Callithrix jacchus: one gene and its partners. The protein of the gene in region 1 interacts with the protein of each later gene in a pairwise test. Links are inferred from orthologs where the notes say so. Each region holds a gene or a part of one and is shown on either strand. Other genes may lie near its edges.

Region 1 (4,091 bases):
ATAGGTTTACAGGAAGTAGGCATATTTTTATAAAACAATTGTGTCCTCCCCACATTTTGCTATGTTAATATTTGCCTCTAACAATTTGCAGCTGTTTCACTTTTTCCTCATTTGTCTCTAAGTTGAAGGCCTTGTTGGAAGGGACAGCACAGGAACAGCCTTGACAGTCTGTAATTATTGTACAAATATTTTAATAGCATATAAATAAGTATATTCCTTTTATTTTGAAACAAATGATCAGACACTGCCTTTTTTGTGTTTGCTGCCTGTGGCACCCTTTTTTAAAAAGACTGTTACATATTAAAATAGTGTACATATATATATAAATATTACCTCTTTTGCTGTACAGTTGTGATAGAGACTGAAGATTTTATTTTTTGTGTGCTTTTTATAAGAAAAAAATTAATACACTAAAGAATCTTGCTGATGTGATTGTAATGTACCTATGTAACTTATTTACTTTTGAATGTTCTTCTGTATCTTTAAACCTTTTATTAAATAAGGTTTTAAAAATTCAGAGTTGCATGCTGTGTTCTCTGGGATTTTCACCATCTGGGATTGATGTAAGTGGGTCTTGTCTTGCTTGCACAAAGATTACTCAACATTTTCGAACCATACGGATTCTCTTTTAGCAGCCTATTGTCAATGATGCCAGCCAGGAAAAGGGAAATAACATATTAATGTTTACCTGGCTAAAAGATGACTGAGTAGACATAGACAAACATCTTTTTTACAAAATTTTAGACAAGAAAAAGGCAACTCCGTATCTTACAAAAATATACGTAAATGGCACACGCCGACATTTTGGCTGCGTTGGGATGAAATATGCAGGGTGCAGAGTGTGGTTGGGGGAACAGGGAAGCTACGGTTCTGAGGATATTCTCACGTGCAGGGTGGACTGGCTGAGCAATCTGAGATGAGTCCACCATGAGGGATGCATTTCCAACAATATCATCTTAAGTCCACTCCAGGATTGGGTTATTTTTAAAATACGGTGCTTAGCAGTCTTTGTTCTCTGTTTAAAAAAAAAAAAAGAAGAAGAAAATTACGCCATCAGAGAAACAGGTGCCCGGGGCACCATGGTAACCGCTGGACTCCGCCCCACCCCCACTCCCCCGCCCGCGGTGGGCCGCCAGAGCAGACGAGTCTCGTGCAGGCTGAGAAGCCGTTGCCATGGCGACACCCGAGCGGCTCCGCCGCGGGGGCGTGACGGAGTGGGGCAGACGCCGCTCACGGGCTGGCCCCACCCTTCACTGCTGCAGTAACATCGCCGCAGGTTGCGGGTAGGACACTACGTCTGGGTAGCAGCGCAGTGCAGATCGTTGCGGCCGCCGCTGCTCATCCTCTCTTCTGCTGTCTCCAGCCCAGCTTCGCCAGCTCTCCTGCTCCTCTGTTGCCTTCGTTTCTGGTCCTCGGCGGTCCTCGCCACCCTCCCGGAAGAGTCCCTGCTCCTGCCAAGAAGCCGCTCTCAGCTGGCCCGCAGCCGCCGCGACTTCGGCACAGTCTGCCTGTGCCGGGTCTCCCAAACGACCTCTCCTCGCCCTCGGAAGACCGGGCTGCGACCGCGAACGCCAGATCCTCTCTGGGAGCCGCCGCGAGCGCCCGACGACCACACCTCGGCGGTTCTCGGCCCATCGCGCCTGCCTTCGCCGCCCGCCTTCGCTCCTTGCCCGCTCCACGACGACGCGACGCCTCGGCTGCTGGCAGCGGACCCGGACCCGGACCCGGACCCAGACGCAAGATGGCGACGGCTGCGTGACTGCCTCAGCGTTTCCGAGCTCGTCTCCAAGTGCGTCCACTGACTGACTGTGGGGGCAGGGAAGGGCGAGGTCAGGACTCTGTGTCTTTGTTAATCGTGACTGCGTGAAACTCGCCTCCCTTGGGCCTACTTGGGGGGAGTGTCTGGCGTTGTTCTAAGGCCAGGAGCAAGGTGAGCCACTGTCTGTTGGTAGAATTAGCGTCTTGATAGTTGACAAAATGGCGATGATACTGTTGGAAGACTGGTGCAGGGGAATGGATGTGAACTCCCAGAGAGCTCTGTTGGTCTGGGGCATCCCAGTGAACTGTGATGAGGCTGAAATCGAAGAGACCCTCCAGGCTGCGATGCCCCAGGTGCCCTACCGAGTGCTTGGGAGAATGTTCTGGAGGGAAGAAAATGCGAAAGCAGCCTTATTAGAGCTCACTGGCGCTGTCGATTACGCCACGATCCCCAGGGAGTTGCCGGGCAAAGGAGGAGTCTGGAAAGTGTTCTTTAAGCCCCCGACTTCCGATGCTGAATTTTTAGAAAGATTGCACCTCTTCCTAGCTAGAGAGGGCTGGACCGTGCAGGATGTTGCCCGTGTCCTTGGGTTTCAGAACCCTACTCCGACCCCGGTCCCAGAGATGCCAGCAGAGATGCTAAACTATATTTTGGATAATGTTATTCAACCTCTTGTTGAGTCCATATGGTACAAGAAGCTGACACTTTTCTCGGGGAGGGACATCCCAGGGCCTGGAGAGGAAACCTTTGATCCTTGGCTGGAGCACACTAATGAGGTCCTAGAGGAGTGGCAGGTGCCAGATGCAGAAAAGAGGCGGCGGTTGATGGAGAGTCTTAGAGGCCCCGCCGCTGATGTCATTCGCATCCTCAAGACCAACAACCCCGCGATAACTACTGCCGAATGCCTGCAGGCGCTTGAGCAGGTGTTTGGGAGCGTTGAGAGCTCTAGGGATGCCCAGGTCAAATTTCTGAACACTTACCAGAACCCGGGAGAAAAGTTGTCTGCTTATGTCATTCGTTTGGAGCCTCTGCTACAGAAGGTGGTGGAGAAGGGGGCCATTGATAAAGATAATGTGAACCAGGCTCGTCTAGAGCAGGTCATTGCCGGGGCCAACCAAAGCGGGGCCATCCGAAGGCAGCTGTGGCTTAACGGGGCTGGGGAAGGGCCGGCCCCAAACCTCTTTGAGTTGCTGGTGCAGATCCGTGAGGAGGAAGCCAAGGAAGAGGAGGAGGAGGCTGAGGCCACCCTTCTGCAGTTAGGCCTGGAAGGGCACTTCTGAGTCCCAGGAAAGGCAGCTTTAGTGCAGACCCAGATCACAGCTACTGTCCTTGTCCCTGTGGGGTCTTACAGATGTGTCTGAGTAGTAAAGGCTTAGTCCTGTTACATTTGTTTTTGGAGGGCAGGATTTGTCAGGCCTGAGTATTCATGTAACATTCTAAAATTGTGCACGCAAGCACTGTGAGCTGCTAGCGGATCTTGCTGGCTACAATGCCGTTTACCTGGTTGGACACAGAGCTTAGTGCACGCGGTCATCATGGCCATCATAATCAGTTGTGAAAAACGTGTGAACCTGTGACACTTCTATTCCACGTTGAATGTGAAATTGCATGTTCAGATGTTTACTGCGGGGCCTGGCTCACAGGAAGTGTTCAGTAAAAGTGTGAACTGTTAGATTACTGATATTGTGGATAGTTTTCTGTCTACCATAACTTGTTCCAGATTTTATTAATGGAAGGGAATGTGCATTTATTATGACTCAACCTTACAATGTAAACGTACTATTTCTCATCTTTAAACATGTGGATCAGTTTAATTGAAAAGTATTCTGATACTGCAAAATGGGATGTTAAAAACTGCAGTTACGGAGCTGTGTAACCCATTTTTCACTGCATAAGATACAGATGTAAATTGCATGGAGAGGTTGATGTGCACCTGTTAGAGTAATTCACTTCCCCAATTTCAAATCTTTGTCAGAAAATAGTTCTTGTTCATACTAATTCTGAGTGTTCTAAATTTGAAGTTACATACAGAAATAAAAATGTTTTTCGATTTCTGTTGTCTTCTCCTTTTGCTGGCATGTACAAACATCTTTAGCCTAAGTAAACTCTGTCCATTTTTCTTATGAAGACTGTCATTAACTCAAACCATATGTTTTACTTACCACAGACACTCAGCATGTCTTCACCCACTACCCATCATTCACAGAGCTTTCCCCTCCATTCCCACCAGCATCAGGTGCACACTCACCCACCTCCTACGCTCTACACATTCACTGCCATCTCCCACTCAGTACTCCCACCTTAACATACACCCTCTTCCCACTCCACATGT
Region 2 (4,243 bases), on another chromosome or scaffold:
CTTGTCCTTAAGAACTGATTTCTTAAGCAACTCATGAAGAAAAGCAAAGTTGAGAGTGCTGCACGTACAACTCCAGAAAAAAACGGTAAGAGAAATCACTAACACTGTGTATTTCCATCAGCCTATGGAGATGATCTGGAAGGCTTCCTTTCAACTCCTCTCAGTTTGTCAAAGAGCAAGTGGAGCTGACTTGGGAGAAGGAACACATCAATGGTCCAAGTGCATCCCTAGGAAGAGGGTTCTTAAGCTGACGTGGTCCCAAAAGCTTTGTCTCTACCCAAAAAAAAAAAGGTCAGCCTGGCATTTTGTTTCTTGTTTGGGAGGCTTGGAATATCGTAAACAATTTTAAAAGGAGTTGCACCCAGTAACTCTGTGACACACAGTAGAGCAGAGGTAGCCACAACAACTGCCCCAAGAAGCTTGGGATGTAAAATCATAAATGTCTACATACTATATTTGCAACTGCTAGCCTTAACAGGAACACAAATCCACCGCGCTAATGATGGGACATTATTTTTCTAAAGATTAATTCACACCATGTGTTATTAATCAGCAGGGTAACTGAAAGCTCAAGCAAAAAAAAAATGCTGTCCTAGTCAAGCAGAACTTAATTGCATTATTGTTATTATTATGGCTGCTGCGCTGGTTTCCCTGTGTCCCCGGCTCCTCCACCACAAGTATTCAGACACACACACACACACACACACAGCACCATAGCATGGATGGAAAAACAAAAAAGCCAGAGCCAGGAGGTAAGAACCACATGTATAGTAGGAAGAGGGTTTTGAAGAAAAACGTTTGTCTCTGGAAAAACAGGTCAAGTATGCACGCAGGCTGCCTTGAGAATTATGCCTAGGCCGTTTCATCTGAGTGTCCCATCTTGCACAACGGTGGGAGCAGCTGCGGGAGATCACAGGAAATGCAAAGCAACACAAGCAACCTCATCTATCTCCCCGACGCCCACACCAGAGTTTCCAGGTGGTGGGAGAGAGTGTTCAGGTCTCCGGAAGAGCACACAGCTCACCTGCCATCCAGAACATCATTTCCCATACCAAACCATCCATTTTCAAGGCCTGAAGGCAGGCAATTTAAACTCCTGTCGGTGATCAAACCTCAGAAAACCGATTTTTGATCTAGAACTCGAGTCCTTTGCCAAAGTTGTAGTTTTCATGCCAAAAACAAAAAAACCCGCAGGCAGGCACAATCGTTGGCTGCGTGAATCTCGAGTTTCCCTTGCTGCCTAGTCTTGTGGAGTTTAGAGGCAACCAACTAGGAAAAGAGAAGTGTCCAAGTGTAAGGAGCAGGAATGCGTCCAATCTCGCCCGTGTCCCTCCCAACATCCCTTAGAAGAGGCTGGGACACTAAAACTGGAAGTCTGGGGACCAACTGCAGTCCAGATCCCGGCCGGGGCAAGCCGCCACACCCTCTGCAGCTCAGCATAAGCCCCGGCTGGGAGGGGCCCAGACAGTCCCAGCAGGAAAAGGAGAAAGGGGAGTTTTCAGAGTTCTGGATTAGAGGAGGTGGAAGGCTGGGAGAAGCGGAATGCAGGAGGGAGCGGGGGACCTGGCTGAGTGTGCAAGGGGAGGGGAAGGGTCGCCCGTGCAGTCAGGACAGCTCGCAACACGTTCCCGCAAAACTGCACATTTTTGTGGTTTAAGATTTAAGTCTAGAGGGAACACGCTGAGGTTCTCCCCGGGCTGGGTTTCAGACGCCCCTCCTCCTCGCCGAGGGCCGGGGCGCCGCACAGCTGCGGAGCTCCCCTTTCCCTTTCGGGGAAGCTCCCCTCTGCCAAGCCGCGACGTCCGCCCTCCAAGTTCGCCTCCGCTCACTACCCGGCACGGCGCCCGCGGCCGGCCACACGCGCCCCATCTGCCGAGAACCTAGCAAGTCCCCGGCTGGCCGCTCAAGGGATGGTCCGCAGGGGCTCGGGGTTTTTTGTTTTTTAAAAACACAAAAAGCCTAAGCGACTCGCCGCCCCCTCCTCCCCAGCCCTCGCCACCTTCCCTTCACGCCTACGCCGCACCTCCCGGGCACACGCGCCGAGAAGTGCCTCTCCAGCCAGACAATGGGTTCGGGGCTGGCGGGGCAGCCCGCCAGCCCTCATTCCCATCCCATCCCAGGACCCGGAGAGGCAGAGCGCGCGGAGCTGGAGAGAAGTGCCGGGGGCGTGGGGGCGCCACAGTGGGGAAGGTGCGAGCCTCCCCCTCGGGAAAGGAGGCTCGCTCCCCGCGAGGGACGAAGGGGAGGGGCGGGGGTCAGCTGCGCCGCCCGGCCGGGGGCCCGACCGCCGCGGCGCACTCACCAGCACGATGGCAAATCGTTCCTCCAGTTCACCTGGCTCAGGCATCGGCAGCTTCAAAGGCACGTTGTGCGCCCTGAAATCGGTCTGCTGCGAATCCATGCTCCCGGCGTTACCCATGTCGGCGGCGCGCCGGGGCCGGGGGCTGCTCCGGGCCCCTTGCGTGCGCGTAGGAAATCAGAACAGCTCCCGGCGATCGCCTCCCGTCCGCAGGCGCGACCTGCCCAGCTCCCGCCCTCCGCCGCGCTCCGGCGGGTGTGCGGTGCGCACCGCTCCCTAGCAGCGCTCCAAGCCGAGCCGTCCCCCGGCCACCCTCATGCTCCCCGCCGCCCCAGCTCGGCCCCGGCCTCTTTTGCTCCGGAGAGGTAGTCGGGGCGCTGGGCGCCTATGTGCATGGTGCTCCGCTGGTACACCGCCCCCTGCCAGAGATCGCGGCCCCCGGCGCGTGGTCCCTCCTACTCGGCCTTCAGCCGGGCCCCCGGGCGCCGCTGACACTTCCAGCCCTGGCCGGCAAAGGCTGCGACTGCTAGGCTAGCACCTCGAACAGACAAATGCAGCTCCGCGCTCCCCTACACAATGCCCCCTCTCGCCTGGCCCCCGCCCCCAGCCCGGCTCCGCCCACTCGCCCCGCGGACTGCCGGGACGCGTAGTTTCTACCCAAAGTGTCCGCGCGCAGAAACCACGCCCGCTCTGGAGCGCCAGGCCAGATTGGGACCATTTGCAGCAAGGGGATCCGTATGTTTCTGGAGATGGCTTATGTCACTTTTGACCTCCCCTCACCCCAACAGCAGAATACCTACATCGTATATGCCATGTTGACACTTGGAATCCAATCAATGAATGAATGGATGCATGCCTTCTGATTAAAATCCAGAAAATCATTGCTGTTTTTAAAAGATCTAGTTCAATAAGGAACTTCGAAAGCATTGGCAAAGTGGTTTCATACACGGGGGAGGGCGGGTGGGTCCATGGGTGCTTGCTTATCGTTCTTTCTTCCATATATATGTTATTTGGTGTGACTGAAATATTTTATAAACAAATGTATAATTTATGGATATATACAGCCAGACCCTAGGAGCTGGATAAGGATTCAATTCAATTTACAAAAAAAAAAAACCAAAAAACTGTCAAACACCTTATTATGTATGGGTTATTGTGTTCCTTGGTGGGAGAAAAAAAGAGACTTGCCCCTGTGCTAGAATACATGCCAATCTAGTGAAGGAGAAAATTTACACACCCATATTTCATGTGAGATGGATTTAATGATGGAGTGTTTTGGGAGACTTTGGGATGATTTTTTGACTGCAGCGCTCTTATTTCTTCACAGCAATCTTGAGCAAGGTGTCTTACAGAAAAGATTGGACCTGACTCTGTCCTCTGGGGTGTGTTTCAGACTATAACTACTCATTTCTGAAACCTCAGAAATAGAAATAGCCTTATAAGAGACTTTAGCCAACTGCTTATGTGAATATTAAGGGTATACATCCATATGACTTGTGGCTGAACTTCTGCTGTTAGTACTTTCTTAGTTTAAAGCAGTGTTTCTTAATCCTAGAGGTGTATCAGATTCACTTGGGAAACTTTTTGCTAAAACTACACACACCTTGGGTTCTGTCTATTATCGGAATCTCCCTAAGCTGAGAGCCAGAGCCTAGGCAGGTGTAGTTTTAACAAGCTCCCAGCTGATTTTGATATGCAGGTAAGGTTGTTATCATCCTTTTAGTAAATAGCAAGTGCTTCTGGACAAGGTAGTAAACCAAGATTCAATCATCAAGAACATTTCATTCATCTTTATAAACTCCAAGATACTTTTTTTTTTTTTAAAGATGAGGTTTCAGCATGATGGCCAGGCTTGTCTTGAACTCCTGACCTCAGGAGATCCACCCACCTCGGCCTCCCAAAGTGCTAGGATTACAGGCGTGAGCCACCGTGCCCGGCCTCGGC
Region 3 (4,316 bases), on another chromosome or scaffold:
AACCCTCACTTCTCTCCCTGCTCTGCATCCTGGATGCCCTGCACCCCTCTTCAGTGGGCTGTATCAGGCCCCCGTTGTCTTCATCTGGGGCGTGAGCCCTGTGCGGCAGCACCAGGCTGGCTGGGTTGTGTAAGGAATGCTGGGGTGTAGAAACCCTTTCTCCACAAAGTCTAACTTGAGACCTTCTCTCCTGGAATCAACATTCCCCTAATCAGGCCGAGGGCTGAATGAAGACTGTTTTCCTGGGGCGTCTGCACCTGAGTGCCCTTGAACATCACATAGGACGAAATCCAGGTGACCTTGGATTTGGCAATGACTCTTTAGATATGACACCAAAGGCATGATCCATGCAGGAAAACGCTGATTAAAATAATAAAATTCTTCATTAAAATAATAAATTTCTAGGTCATGCCTATAATCCCAGCACTTTGGGGGCCCCAGGTGGGAGGCTCTCCGTCACAGGGCCGGAGGTCACAGGGCGCCTGTCACAGGGCTGGAGTGTGGTTGGCCCACTGGTTTGTGTTTTACGTCCCTTCCCACAAGGACAAGATGACCCGTCTGTTGTGTTCTGGCTGCTGATAAAACAAGACCCTCAGAGCCAAGAAACAACACTGAGGTGATTGATTTTCCCAAGTAATTGGAGACGGGGGGAGTCAGGGTGGGTTTCAAGATGATCACACGGACCGAGGACAGATGCCTGCCCTAGTAGGACCCCATGAGCCACAGCCCTGTGTGACAGCCTGAGGGGCCACGCCTTGGTCAGGGGTGTCTGCAGTGAGGTGCAGGCAGGAGCAGTGCAGTTGGGAACAACTGGTGTCTTAGACACGGGTGCTCGTGGTCCGAGGGGTGGACACACATTGCTGAACCCTTCTCATGGGGGAGTGACGTCAGGTGGTCTCCGGCCCAGCCTTCAGGGCCTCCCAGTGCTCCTCAGGGTGTGGGGACCATCGTGGGGCTGCCCCAGGCTGGTGTCCTCCCCCTACACTCACCAGCCCCTCCATCCTCAAGTGTGGGTCCCAAGGTCAGGCCCTGATGAACACCCGCACACCACATGCTACCCTGAGTGCCAGGGCCTACGGAAAGCTACACTGGGTCCCTGTGTCGTGGGCAGGGCCTGTGGGAAGGGCAGCCCCACGTGCCACTCAAGGAAAGGCAGTGTCCCCACCTGGCCTGAGGACTCCACATGGGGTGAATGCCTGACCCGGGCTGGGCCTCCCTTTGCGGAGTGGCTCAGATCCCCCTGGAGTGTGGTCCCCACATCCCATACCTGCCTAAGGTCCTTGGCATTCTCGGGCTCTGTCGTGGTGCAGGAGTGGCTGCCTGTGCACCCCACGGGCCTCCAGCTTCACTGCCTCAACATGGCCACGAGCTGTCGCCAGGGCGGGCAGGGGTGCCTGGCACCTGGTCGCTAGGGCAGCGACATCACAAGGTTCGGAAGGTGGCAGCGACCACGGAACTCTGTGGCCTTGGGCTGTTTCTGTGGTGCCTGTGGGCTCTGGGCTTCCACCTCTGTGGGGCTGCAGGAGCTGTGAGGGACGACGAGGGACGTGCGCCGGCCATGGCTGAGGGCGGTGAGCTGATGAGCCAGCTCCTGAGTGAGAACGCAGACCTGAAGAAGCAGGTGCGCCTCCTGAAGGAGAACCAGATGCTGCGGCGGCTGCTTAGCCAGAGCTGCCAGGACGGTGGTGGCCGAGACCTGCTCCCCCAGAGGGCGCCCGCCTACCCCGAAGCCAGCTCCCCTGGGAGCGGAGGTGAGGCGCCACCCGGCTCAGTTGGCCCAAGGGTCTGGCCTGGTGGATGGCGGGTCAGGGGACGCCTGCTCCTCAGGTGCCCCTGGTACAGGAGGTCACGGGTACCTTCCACACCCTCGGATCTGAGTAAGCAGCACCAGGTGGTTCATTCCGCTGTTGTCCTCGGGCGAGGCCCCTCCCCTACAGGCCCGCTGCGGTGAAGTAGGGGTGGTCAGCCACTTGCAGGTGGACTGGTCAGCTGCAGTCACGGAAGTGCCGCCGTAGGGGCAGAGCGGGAGGCGTGCAGCCTCGTGGGCCTCCAGAGACCCAGGCAGCTCTTCCAGGCTGGGCCCGGCTGGCACTTCGCTCGGCTGTGTGTGTCTCTTCTCCTGGGGCGGAGGGGGCTGTCAGACGCACCAGCCACACGAGTCCCATCCACTCACGTCCTCAGCCAGAGTCAGGGCAGCCCCAGGGTGGGAAGGGCCTACCTCGGGGAGGTCAGGGGAGTGGGTGGGGATGATGGGCACCTGTCGTCCCTGGGGCGGTGGGAGTGTCGGGTCACGATCCACCCACCACATAGTATTGACTCCAACCTTCTGTGGCTTTTCACTGAAAAAAAAAAAAAAAGGGGGGGTTTGATCACTTTCTGCAAAGTAGTAGGTTTTATTCTAAAAATTTTGGGAAAAACATTCCCTGTTTCTGCATGTGACTTGGGGTATGGCTGACAGGTGTGCCCTTGACTTTGTTAGGATGGTGGGCAGTGGACAGAGTCCCTGACCCAGCACTGCCTGGGACTTCCACGGCCAACCTCAGCTTCCCACCAGGCCGGGTGGGGACAGGATGTGGTCAGCCTGCCTGGTCCTGGACGATGGAGCAGGCAGCCTCACCAGTGCCTGTGAACGCTGCTGTCGGGAAGCACGAGCCATGCCTGGGAGGCTGGTTCTGCCACCCACCGAGGGGACACTCTGGGACCTGCGCAGGGGTGGTCACTTCCTGAGTCCTCAGACGCCAGCCACCACCCTCATCTGTGCGCCTCTGAGCGGGCACAGCCTGCAGGAGGCACTCTCCGCTGCTTGGAGCTACTGTGTACAAAGCCTGAGAGCGAGCACGTCGGGAAGTAAAGAGGGGAATCCTTGGCAGCATCTCCATAGCTTCGGTGCCTGCAGGGGCTCCTCACGGGGAGCTGGAAGGAGAGCACCTCGCCAGGAGGTATGGGGACAGTGTGGCCAGAGGATCCAGCGCCGGGGGTCCCTGCTGTGGGAGGCCCCAGGTCCTGCATCCCCGTTGGTGGCCACTGAGCTCCCCCACACTCACCACAGGCCATTTGCTGGGTGGACCTGTGCTTACGGCGGCACTGCAAATGGTCCCGTTCACAGCACTTGTTAGCCCCGGGCACTGTGGCTGCAAAAGAGCCCCTAGTCTGCTTGGTGCCTGAGGAACTGCCACAGGCTGCATGCCCGGCCTTGTTGCCATCGTCCTCCTCAAGAAGGAATTGCACTGGGCTGGACACAGTGCTGGGGCCTCCCTTGGCGGGAGAGCGGCAGACCCTCCACCCTTGCTCAGGCTGTGCAGTCCCTGGAGGGACCTTTGTCAGGGGCTGAGTCAGGTGGGGTCTCCATGGCCACGGTGAGTGCACCTGCCCTTGGGTCACCTTGGCAAGCCCAGGTCTGGCTGGACACAGGTCTTGGGAGGATCCCCAGCCCGAGGCCATCAGGCCTTCCACAGAGGGCCTTGGAGCCCCCATGCAGGGTGTGGGGCAGGCTCAGTGTGGCCCGGGCTGCCAGTGGGGAGGGGCCTGGACAAGGCCGCCTTCTAAACTGTGCCACCTCAGTGGCAGCGCGTGGTGCACCCTTGATGCTCTGGGCCTCAGCATGTGCTTGGGAATGTGCCTGGGTCTGCGGGGCGCTGCATTCAGCCCCAGCCCTCAGCAGGACGGGGGTTTGGAAAACCACCACTGAGCTCCTGCCAAAAAGGGGTTTAACACCGCGGAGGACATGTTTCCGGCTCAGGCCACGCCTCTGGACCCACTCCCTAAAGGCAGGCACAATCAACGTTTTCTTGGGTTTTCTCTGGAAGTTTGATGGAGGTCCGTGTGTCTCTCTCTCTCTTTTTGGTCCACCCAAACAGGACTGCGCTGTTCCCCAGCCTGACTTTCGCCCTGAAACTGTCCATTTCTCTATCATTCCCCGTCAGTCCTCAGCTGCAGACATCCCGGCACACAGAGAAGCTGGTTCCTTCTCTGGGGCCCCTGGCAGGCAGCACCATTCCCGGTCTGTGACCGCGGATGCTGTGGCCGGGAGCAGCCTGCACAGGCACCCTGTCGCCTTGGGTAGGGGATCCCACACGTGGGTCCTCGGGTCAAAGGCTGTGTGCATTTGAGATGTCGGAAGAGACACTCAAACACTCTCCTGAAAGGCCCCTACACCCCACTAATGGAGGAGGCGGGCGCCATGCTGGCATTGTTCCAGCACACACACACCCCCCCCCGCCTGGTGCTCTCCACACCCCCCCCACCTGGTGCTCTCCACACCCCTCCCCGCCTGGTGCTCTCCACCCGCCCCCCGCCTGGTGCTCTCCACATCCCAC

Evidence for each region.
Region 2: the proteins of PNMA1 (region 1) and FMNL2 interact in a two-hybrid assay, tested with the Homo sapiens proteins (2 studies listed by BioGRID). The two-hybrid records come from large-scale screens. The link is inferred for Callithrix jacchus from reciprocal best matches to the Homo sapiens genes PNMA1 and FMNL2.
Region 3: the proteins of PNMA1 (region 1) and SPATC1L interact in binary tests that used the Homo sapiens proteins (3 or more experiments, as listed by UniProt). The two-hybrid records come from large-scale screens. The link is inferred for Callithrix jacchus from reciprocal best matches to the Homo sapiens genes PNMA1 and SPATC1L.

Annotation. Positions count from the first base shown.
Region 1 is NC_133509.1:108,629,415-108,633,505, reverse strand, and holds PNMA1 (paraneoplastic antigen Ma1), read left to right. Parts: upstream 1-1,258; 5' UTR 1,259-1,977; coding exon 1,978-3,039; 3' UTR 3,040-3,809; downstream 3,810-4,091.
Region 2 is NC_133507.1:77,748,969-77,753,211, forward strand, and holds the start of FMNL2 (formin-like protein 2), read right to left. Parts: upstream 2,849-4,243; 5' UTR 2,420-2,848; coding exon 2,303-2,419; intron 1-2,302. UniProt on the Homo sapiens protein: Plays a role in the regulation of cell morphology and cytoskeletal organization. Required in the cortical actin filament dynamics.
Region 3 is NC_133522.1:51,766,213-51,770,528, reverse strand, and holds the start of SPATC1L (speriolin-like protein), read left to right. Parts: upstream 1-1,468; 5' UTR 1,469-1,558; coding exon 1,559-1,751; intron 1,752-4,316.